Linked DNA regions of Neodiprion lecontei. The protein of the gene in region 1 purifies or fractionates together with the protein of each later gene. This does not show direct contact. Links are inferred from orthologs where the notes say so. Each region holds a gene or a part of one and is shown in the gene's direction. Other genes may lie near its edges.

Region 1 (6,383 bases):
GTCAGACGACTTTTTTTTTTTCTTTTTTCTCCTCCTACAAATTCATTCTCGCGAATAATCGATAAGTCGTATTTATAAATCATTTCATGGAGGCCCGAGCACGTTCTTAGGTCCAGTAAGTGTACCGTGTAACTGCACTCTACCAACAAATAGGTATATAACGTCTCTGTGCGCAATAGCTGAACTCCGTTTGCCTACAATCAGCATTATCTTCATCGTGCTGTAGCGACTGAAATATCCGTCATTTGAAGACAATGCAAGTAGCTACAGGGTGCCGACGTGCCACCCCGTGGGTGTGGCTTCCTTGGAATGGGCTGGATCGTGTCCCTCGACTCGCCGATGCGACGGCTGATCGCGTGTTATCGGAGGGTGCAGAGTCCCGCCCACGTGAGGGTGGAGTCCGACGAAAGAGGAAGATCTCTAGCCGGCGCTGTCAAAGGGCTGCGCTGCACGAGCCGGATGACGAGGAGGAATCTATCTCCCTGCACGCTACTGATCTCTGCAAGTCGCAGGGATATATATATATAGGGATTTATATACACCTAGGTATATCTATGATATCTATGTAAAACGCGATCGAATCCGAGGGTCTTTCCTCACTCGTGCGCGGTATTGATACTGCAGTCCATAACCGAACTTATCACAGAATTGCGCAATGGAACGCAAGCGGGTACGTATACGAATTAACTGTATAATAAGGTTCGTACGACATATACGTCGTATTGGGGTGTAATATAGGTATATTACAAAGAATTCGATTAGGTCTACCCGTATAGTGGGTACTAACATGCTGTGCCTCGTGGAGTAGCAAATGCTTTGAATAAACACTGCCTGTAACCTTAGTGTACCTATTACATATCTACTTATACATTTGAATATATGTCACTTTAGAGTATAGAGTAGGTACAACAGACTTGCGCAATGACGCTACATATTAGTATAATCTTAGTGCATAATCAGCGTCAACCCTTTTGCAATGAAAATTCGTCAACAACGATCTTCCCGTCTATCGTTCTACTCTGCGTCGTTACACCCGTAGTTGAAAACTTCCCTGAGCGGCACAAAAAGTTCGGCCGTGGCGTTTGCAGCTTCTATAATCGTAAGAACAGGCCGAATTTAAAACCTCGAGTACTCTCAGCGTAATCGAGGCAAAATTTTTACGCGACGGTATACCGGGCACGCGATCTCGAATGCAACCCATCTAATACCAGGCATACCACGTTCACGACAGGGTCGAGTTCGACAGTCGTGATAATTATTGCTGATCGCAGCAGCGGCTAGTCCGATCGATTGTCGTCAAATTGTGGAACGCAGCAGTATCGGTGCAGTGTCGCAGGGCGATTTCGTTGACATCTGGCTGACTCGGCTGATTTGGCAGGCAGGCAGTCAGGCAGGCAAGCAGGCATCAAGTGGATTTTGTCGAGTATTATAAATAGCGTACAATAAAGGCGACTGCAAACTTTTCCCGCTCGGCGCGGATCGCGGGAGAGAGGGCTGCCCGCATGGGCGAAGAGGCGAAGGGGGCGGGCAGGGGAACGGGGTGGGGGGCTGGGACTCGACGCGGAGAGAGGCGAGAACTCGGGGAGCCAAAGGCTGCGCCGAGAAGTTGCGCGCTGTTTGAGCGCATTGAAACCTTGCGCCATGTTACCACGGTATTCAGTCGCGCGCCAACTCTCGAATCGTGCGTGAGTTTTATCTCGTGGTTCTACACGTTGCGGACTCCGTTGGCGCTGTTGATAAAAAAAAAAAAAAAATAAGAATAAAGAAGTCAGGTTTCGTGCGACGCTTCTCCCTGTTATGTATATTATATACGCGAACGAGGAGAGGAGTTAAAAATAAAGGAACATTAAAAGAGCGCGAGAGTAGAGTTATAAAAATACATACGCGCGGACACTTATCCGATGAAATTGAAAGCAACCGAAGAGCGAAATGTACCCGTACCGTTGGCTCTAGATAACAGACTCATCGCCGGGGGCAATAACTCACACGTGTTCCTCAACTCCGGGCAATTTAATAACAAACACGTAATACGCGGGCTAATTCTTGTGAGACGCGCGTGAATGAGCCTGGCCTACGCCTCCCTCCTACGACTGACATTATCGCGGAGGCGGGTCGTCGTCGAACACGACCGAGATACTCGCGTGTAAGATATTCGGTGGATGAACAGTGTGCAGCGAGGAGCGGATACGTCAGGTATACATGGTGAATCTTTGCCGTGGGGTGAGGAGGGTTTTTTTCGTCAGTACAACAAGAAAGTATACGTGCGAACTATTGTATACCGATATTGCGCGCACATACGCAAGTGAACATCCCACCGCATACTCGAGGTTTTCAAGAATTTTGATAAAGTGACAGTTTGTTAATTTGAAAGTTACCGGGCTTTTATGTGTTATACATTTATACGTATATATAACAAGGAGGGAGAAAAGTAGCAGGCCGTGCGTTCCGCATCGGCGTACGAGAAGAGACTTGGAAGAGTTTGAGTCCGCGGTATTATGCGGGAGTGAAGATCGGTGAAGTTCGAATAGTCTGTCAATGATGGAATCACCGGTGATGTACGAATCAGCTGCGCATCAGGCGCAGTCCCAAGGTGTTCCGGCGGACCTTAAGAAATCCTCCCAAGTGTTGAACAACAACTCGGCCCTTCAAGTGAACCACAACCAGCAGTCCGGCGGCACGGGCGGAACGGGGGTTAACAAGGTGTCGGCGAGCAAGGCGACCCTCAACCAGCAGTACGCCGAGCACTGCGCGGCAGCGGGCGAACTGACGGACCTCAACACACCCGAGATATCGCTCGATCTTCAGCATCTGATCGACGATTCACACTTCAACGATGGACTCCTCGACATGTTGGGGGGCGGTAACGGGAACGGGAATAACGCCAGCGGCGGCGGCGGCGGCGGAGGCGGAGGCCCAGGTTCCAACGGAATGAAGCACTCGCGAAACGCCGGGTTCCCAGGGCGAACGACGCTCGCCTACATGCCGCAGCCCGTACACAGCGGCGCGAGCTATCACCAAGGGAGCAACAGCTGCAGCGACAGCAACAGCTCGAGTTCCGAGTCCCCCAGCATAAAGGAAGAGCCCCTCGACCCCGCCGACTATCGGCGTCACTGCCCTCAGTACCCCGCAGGTGCCGGCGCCTACAGCCCGGCGAACGGCGCCGGTCCCTTCGCGAACGGGGGGCCGACCTTCACGACCTTGACGCCCAGCACGGTCCCCGGGGGTCACCAGCAGCCGCGGGTCCCCATGAAACCCGTCATGTCGCACCAGCACCAGCACCAGCACCCCCACCCCCATCAGCACCAGCACCAACACCAGCACCAGCACCCTCAGCATGCTGCGGCCGCCGCGGCCGCGGCAGCGGCGAGGAAACAGTCAAAGAGCATCGACAAAGCGAGCGACGAGTACCGGCGTCGCAGGGAGCGGAACAACATTGCGGTGAGGAAGAGCCGCGAGAAGGCTAAGGTCCGTTCGAGGGAGACCGAGGAGAAGGTGAAACTACTCGTCAAAGACAACGACCTCCTCAAAAAGAGGATCGAACTCCTTACCGAAGAGCTGAGCGTCCTCAGGTCGCTCTTCAGCAGCGTCGGCGTGGTACCTGAGCAGCTACAGCGCGAGATCTCGAGGCATCTCGATCAGTTCCAACAGCACGCTGTCGGGCCCATGTAGCAGCGGCTCCCGCGATCCTCCCGTCAAATCCCATGCAAAGCTCGTTGCTTCGGCCCTCGAGCTCCGGCTTCTTCGCTCCGCCGTCCCCAGGGAACGAGTAGCTATTCGAGGAGACTCCGAGGAATAGAGCTGCAGGAAATTGGGCCCGATTCGTCGCGCGACACCCACGTTTACCGTTACGCACGGTCGTCGGTCAATAACTGCGGCATATTCATGTAATAATAAGCGAAAATTGCTAAACGAACAATCGTATAGTCGTATATGTATATGTACAGTGATTTAACGAAGAACAGTTACATTATTTATACACCTACTACGACGGCCATGACTGTATGTACTACAGGTATACGAGCTTCCTCGTCCATGTATTGCGTGTGCATTACGACCCGGCGAACAGTTCGCGTGAACCGAAAGGATTCGCAGGTGAGGCAGGCAAAGTTGAATCTGTTTAGGTGATACCATGTTTCGCGTTAACCACTCTCGATTGACCGAACGCTTCACAGAATCCTCGTGGTACGCGCGTATACGTTGAATGTACAATATGAATGCTGTGGGGTATAATTGTGCAGTATAATTGTGGTATTGCAATTGTACATACATTTCATTATTATGCATATCTACCCACATAATTACGTGTATATGCGTGAATGGGGCATCGTCACCTACACAGTTCCCGTGAGCCTGTACCTATCTACCTACTTACCTACCTACCTACCTACCTACCTACCTACCTACCTGGTATATCAATCTAGTTGCGTGGGCATTGAAAACTGGCGACGACGGCCTTCTCCGCTTTCATTTGATTATTACAGAACCGCCATTCTATCATAGGTACATACTGCAGTCTTCTATACTCAAGATGAAATTGCCTGTGTGTGTACCCATTACTTATACGCGTATCAACGGTGGGGTTGTCAAACGGTCGTGCGGAATATCGATGCAACGTGACCGCTGCCAGCAGCCCGTAATATTCATTTCTTACCTTGGTTTTATAACCTATATCCACTTTAATCTTACGTTAGAAAAAAAAAGAAAGTAAACGTCCCGTAAGATCGGGTCGTCTCTGCGCGAAGATACTTGGTTCAACGGTTCAATTTTTATACATACATACATATATATATATATATATTCATGTATTGTAACAAATTTACATCGTTGTATATTCCGTTCATGGCGTTGTGATTACGTACGATTATTACGTTATTATGATTATTGATAGATATAATATTGTTATATCAATTATTATTGTTATTATTATTATTATTATTATCATTACACACTTTTTCGTAAATGCCCCGTCGACATGATCATTTGTTTGACATTTATATATGCAGTCACATCATCCTATACTGTATATCATAAATTCACACCGATACGCCGGAAAACACCAAGCAATTCATGTACACATAGGTCCGTCGTTACGTATGAGATTCTGCTAAATTGCGATTATCGTCATTATTATAAGTTGTATAAGAATCGTAATCATTATGTTTGATGTGTAACTGTTAATTATGATCGTAGATATTATCATACGCTAATAACAATAACGACATATATATTTGTTGTTGTTGTTGTTGTTATTGTTACTACTACTGATACATATTATCATCATCATCATCATCGTTATTATTATTATTATTATTATTCTTATTATTATTATTATTATTATTGTTAATATTAATATTATTACCATCACTGTCGTAAATAATAGTTACCGAATATGCTGTACTAGCTCTATCGATAGAAATTTAATGTATTTATAATTAAGCAGTTTTATCTTAAGCCCCCGATCCGACACTGTACTATATGTCTGTTATCCGCATCCCATAATAACCTGTTGTATTATAATCATAAACATATGCATATGAAATACAAAAATATATATTAAATATGTATATGTATATTTAATATATACGTATGTTAAGCGTAAAATAATTTTAACTATGTAATGTATAGAAAGTTTAATACGTATTTTCATTAGAGAATTTAATATTATTATTGAAAATATATACTTATCGTAACAACGTATTTTATTTAGACATGTGTTTGAGCCATCGTCTGCAGTATCGTGTATATAGTATACTCACATGTACAACAATAAACGTTGGCTCAAACGCGGTCTAGTTATTGAGTTACCGTAACGTGTGAAGCAGGCTTCATTTGTTCATTTGTTCATTCGGTTGATTGTGCGAGAGATAGGAAGAGAGCGATTGAGATATTTTATTTTATGTAACAATAATGTAAAGAGACATATTCGTTGTGAATGCGTGCGTATAATAAATAGTATACATATATATATATATACATACATATATATACATACATGTATATGTATACAAATTCTACACCGTACGTTTTAAGCATGCATTGTGTATTTACGTATATTCACAACGTATATGATATTTATGCGCCGAGATTAACCGGATTACGGTGTACGGTTGTCTATTATACACATACATATATATGTAATACTTATATATAAATATGTATATTTACATATATATGTATATCATATATAGATATTTATCTGATAATTGTCTATATGCACAAATATATTTTGATATAAAATTTATAACGCCTTTTTTTACTCATACAATATTCCGCATATAATTCTTTGCCATACCCAATCAACGCATTCCGTATTATCCTTCGTCAAAATTAACCACGTCGAGTGATTTTCTAATTTCAAACACTGCACGTACAACGTACGTTCG
Region 2 (3,983 bases), on another chromosome or scaffold:
CATAATGCATGCACCCACGTGAACGACGTGTGGCCTTGCTTTAATAGATTTATCCACCGTCATGTAATTGAGAATAGATTCTCTGACCAAATAAATTCGAACCAACCAGAATCAGGTGCGTGCGCTTGGAGAGGATAGAGAGAATAAAAAAAATAAAATAAAAATTAAACTTCTATGAAGCTAACAAAGAATTTCTTTGACCGTTGTTTGTTACATTGTGCTGTACGTACGTTGACCTGTGCCAAAGATTGATCTGCCAGGAATCCGATAGATCTTTGGTGCGACATGTAAGTGAACATTGATTTAATGCCGCATATTTGTGAATTTACAACGAGAATTTAAGTCACATGTAGCGATGCGGATAATATCTATTCCAATCCATCGATTTCAATAACAGCGGGGCTAATTAGTTCCCATTTGTTATTGATCAGTCTCGTACAGGTAAACTCACGGTAAGATTTACCGACACAGTAGACATAATTGACGAGAACTAATTTAGTCGCAGTTTTCATTCTATATCCTTTCGTGTGATCGTTAAAACTTTTTCCTGTTACATGATCGTAAAAGTTGAACTAAAAATGAAGTTCAGTTTGGGAAGAAAGGGAAACAAGGCCTGTTGGAGGTTTGAAGACCGGATTGAGATATTAAAGTACGTAATAAGGCGATCCACCTGGATGAGAGAAAGGGCGTGCCTAGTCGTAGGCGTTTGTCACGGTCAAGTATGCGACGTACTTCTACCAAGCTACAACTACGTGTGGCTGCGGATAATTGCACAGTAGGTATGACGAAACGACAACGATGGTACACCGTTTATTACGAAGATTTAAAAATCCGAGGACACGAATCGAGGATTGGAGAAAAAAGTGCGAGCGGTTGGCGAGAAAGAGGGAAATAGAAGAAGGACATCTCCGATTTCTCATGACCATATAAGGAGCTAAATTCTTAAAAAATGATCGCTCATAGTACGAGTAAAATATGACAGTTTGACATGCGGGTATTGAACGGCGGTAGCACGTGGTTAATGATAGTCTGACAGTCGATAAACGGTGAAATGCCCGAGCACTGTCAGACAGGGATACGTTAAATGCATGTGAAAAAGTTGGACATTTTTTTCGCCGGCAACCTGGCAAAATGGCAAAATGGCGCCCCTGGCGCCTGAGACACTCCTATTAAATGCGTCACTCGAGCCGTACCCTCCGCGGCTACATTCACGCCTATCGCCTTTACTCTTTAGGTACGATCTCGAACCGGAAGATTTAACCCGTCTACTTGACACGGAAAATCAAAAATGCCGTCATTACTGACTGGCTCGATTATCCTAGTGATAGGCGCACGACGTCAGTATCTGTATGGCTGCTCGTTTATTCGATGTGGAAGCCGCTTTCCAAAATTTCCATCATCTCTAGTTGCTACGGGGTTCACACAGCCCGCAAACGACGTTGCGCACATTTAGCATAAAATTAACACTTCTATCGTATGCACGGAATCTCCGGTTAGCGAGGATTCGGTTTCGATACATTTTTGGTTAAAACTCACCTTTTGAATGCAGAAAGTCGCCTGGAAAATCAAGGCTTCAGCGAATTTCAACGACTCCCGTCTAACACGATCTCACAGAGTGCACTGCCGCTCACCGCCGGAAACCGCCATTTTAGACTACGTTCGATTAGACACTTCCCCTACCATCGATCATAACCTATCTTCATTCGATACGCGCACCGTTTTCAACCCTTGTGCGATAAACATCTTGTGTAATTTTCGAAAATTTTATTGACATACACAATACCTCACCGATGCACTTGCAAATTGAATAAAAATGAATTAATTGTGAAGTTGAATTCAACGTAACCAAAATGGCGTCCACGTTTCCTCCTGACTGTTTACTGCGTGACATTCGAACCGGTGCTACTAGCACATGGTTTGTTTTTTAAATAGTACCTCAAAGTAATCAGACCGTCTGAAAAAACAGAAAGTGAAAGATGCCGAAGTCCAAAAGAGACAAGAAAAGTACGTAAATCACCTCAAACACTATCGCACAAGTGAAATCTGAACCGTTGTCCAGATATTATTTGCACATAACCTATAATTTGATATATACATGCTTGATAGTCGTAACTGATTTTGCATTTGGAATTATAAAAAATTCTCTAATACTAACAAGTTCTTGTAATTATTGAAAAATGATAAATTTTCGTTTTAATTTTCAGTCACACTTACAAAGACCAGCAAGAAGGGACTGGTTCTGAAACAACAGATCGTCGAAGACATCCGTAAATGTGTAACAAAGTATAACAGCATTTTTTTGTTCTCCGTTCAAAACATGAGAAATAACAAACTTAAGGACATCCGGGCTGAATGGAAGGATAGCAGGTTCTTTTTTGGTAAAAACAAAATCATGGCGCTTGGCTTGGGCAAATCTCCCGAGGAAGAAGTCGAAGATGAAATACACAAATTATCTGCCGCTCTCAAAGGCCAATGTGGGCTCCTTTTCACCAACAGACCTAAGGATGAGGTACTTGATTAATGAAAATGGCAATATACAAATATATAAATGAATTAAGCAAATATATCATATAATTATTTCAGTATTTTTAAAGGTTTTTTTATTTGGGACAGGTCTTGGACTGGATGGAACAATATGGTGAAGAGGATTATGCACGCTCAGGTTTTGTTGCAAATGAGACAATAACAATACCTGAGGGACCGATGCCAGAGTTTGCACACAGTATAGAACCACATTTGAGGCAGTTGGGACTTCCCACATCGCTTCAAAAGGGAGTTGTAACATTGCTCAAGGATCACGAAGTTTGCAAAAAGGGCCAGACACTCACTCCAGAACAAGCCAGAATACTGGTACAACATTTGTATTTGTTTAGCAGATGTTTTCAAGTATATAGATAATTCCATTATAAAAAGCTCAAAGGCTTCGGTTATGTACTCTTTTTTTTTTCAATTTGCTCTTCTGGAATTTTAATGCTAGTTCCCTCAATTTTCCATGAATGAAATCCAATACAAAATTTGAGAAAAACTGAAATCCACCCATGCATGTCACAAAAGATTTCTCGTGGAATTACGTGTATACTTTACAAAGTACCAATTTACTGAATTCAGTATGGAGCATTATTTTTGTACCTTCTTACAGAAACTCATTGGCAAGGTATTAGCAACATTCAAGTTAACGCCTCTTGGGGTATTTGTCAAGAGTGAAGGATACATGCCAATTGCTACAGATGATAACGATGATAATGAAGATGACAATGTAGAGATGGAAACAGAAGACACAACAGATACCTGAAATCAGAATTAAAAATGACCTAAAAATGTACATATTGAATAAAAAATTGTTTTTCCATTTTTGCGGTTTATCATTTCTTGAGTTTGTGAATAAAACCTACAATTCTTTTCTCTTATCTCACATTCCAGAATATCAGTGACAGCAATGCGCCGAGGAAACATGCATGTTCCAAAACAATCTAGTCCTTGAAATCCTGCTAAAAAAAAGCATGCAGTTATTAGAAACAAACGATTTTGAAATCTCTCGTCAGCAGTGCAAATATCAAGATAAATTTAATGAAAAATATTATTACCAAATAATACACAATATTTACACATTGTACATACTCATTCAATGAATAATGAGTTGCATATTAGGATTCACTATATTTTGGATCGTCGGTATGACATGGGTGAGTGAAATAATTAAACGAAATTGTACCTTTTATGTGTATAAAACTTTGAAAAAACTTTTTATTACAATTTCTGATACCAATGTGAGAAATCATCGGATCTAATCTTGTTAATCAACAGATAATATATCATTGGCTGAATGGAACTGTTCCAAAATCTAGTTGTGAAAATTCTAAAAGAGTGGCATTCAAAATCACAGCAAATAATCATAAAAAACGAAGTACTACTTCTGTAGAATCATGGGACATTTCTGATAATGAGGACAACGGAAATGCAATCACCAGTCACAATGAGCTAAC

Evidence for each region.
Region 2: the proteins of CCAAT/enhancer-binding protein (region 1) and mRNA turnover protein 4 homolog purify together in Homo sapiens (affinity purification with mass spectrometry; 3 studies listed by BioGRID and IntAct, with this or other methods). This does not show direct contact. The link is inferred for Neodiprion lecontei from reciprocal best matches to the Homo sapiens genes CEBPA and MRTO4.

What each region holds. Positions count from the first base shown.
Region 1 is NC_060262.1:42,523,300-42,529,682, reverse strand, and holds CCAAT/enhancer-binding protein, read left to right. Parts: upstream 1-1,609; 5' UTR 1,610-2,535; coding exon 2,536-3,669; 3' UTR 3,670-5,564; downstream 5,565-6,383. UniProt on the Homo sapiens protein: Transcription factor that coordinates proliferation arrest and the differentiation of myeloid progenitors, adipocytes, hepatocytes, and cells of the lung and the placenta.
Region 2 is NC_060261.1:34,236,329-34,240,311, forward strand, and holds mRNA turnover protein 4 homolog, read left to right. Parts: upstream 1-1,797; 5' UTR 1,798-1,976; coding exon 1,977-2,004; intron 2,005-2,204; coding exon 2,205-2,509; intron 2,510-2,613; coding exon 2,614-2,850; intron 2,851-3,139; coding exon 3,140-3,292; 3' UTR 3,293-3,351; downstream 3,352-3,983. UniProt on the Homo sapiens protein: Component of the ribosome assembly machinery. Nuclear paralog of the ribosomal protein P0, it binds pre-60S subunits at an early stage of assembly in the nucleolus, and is replaced by P0 in cytoplasmic pre-60S subunits and mature 80S ribosomes.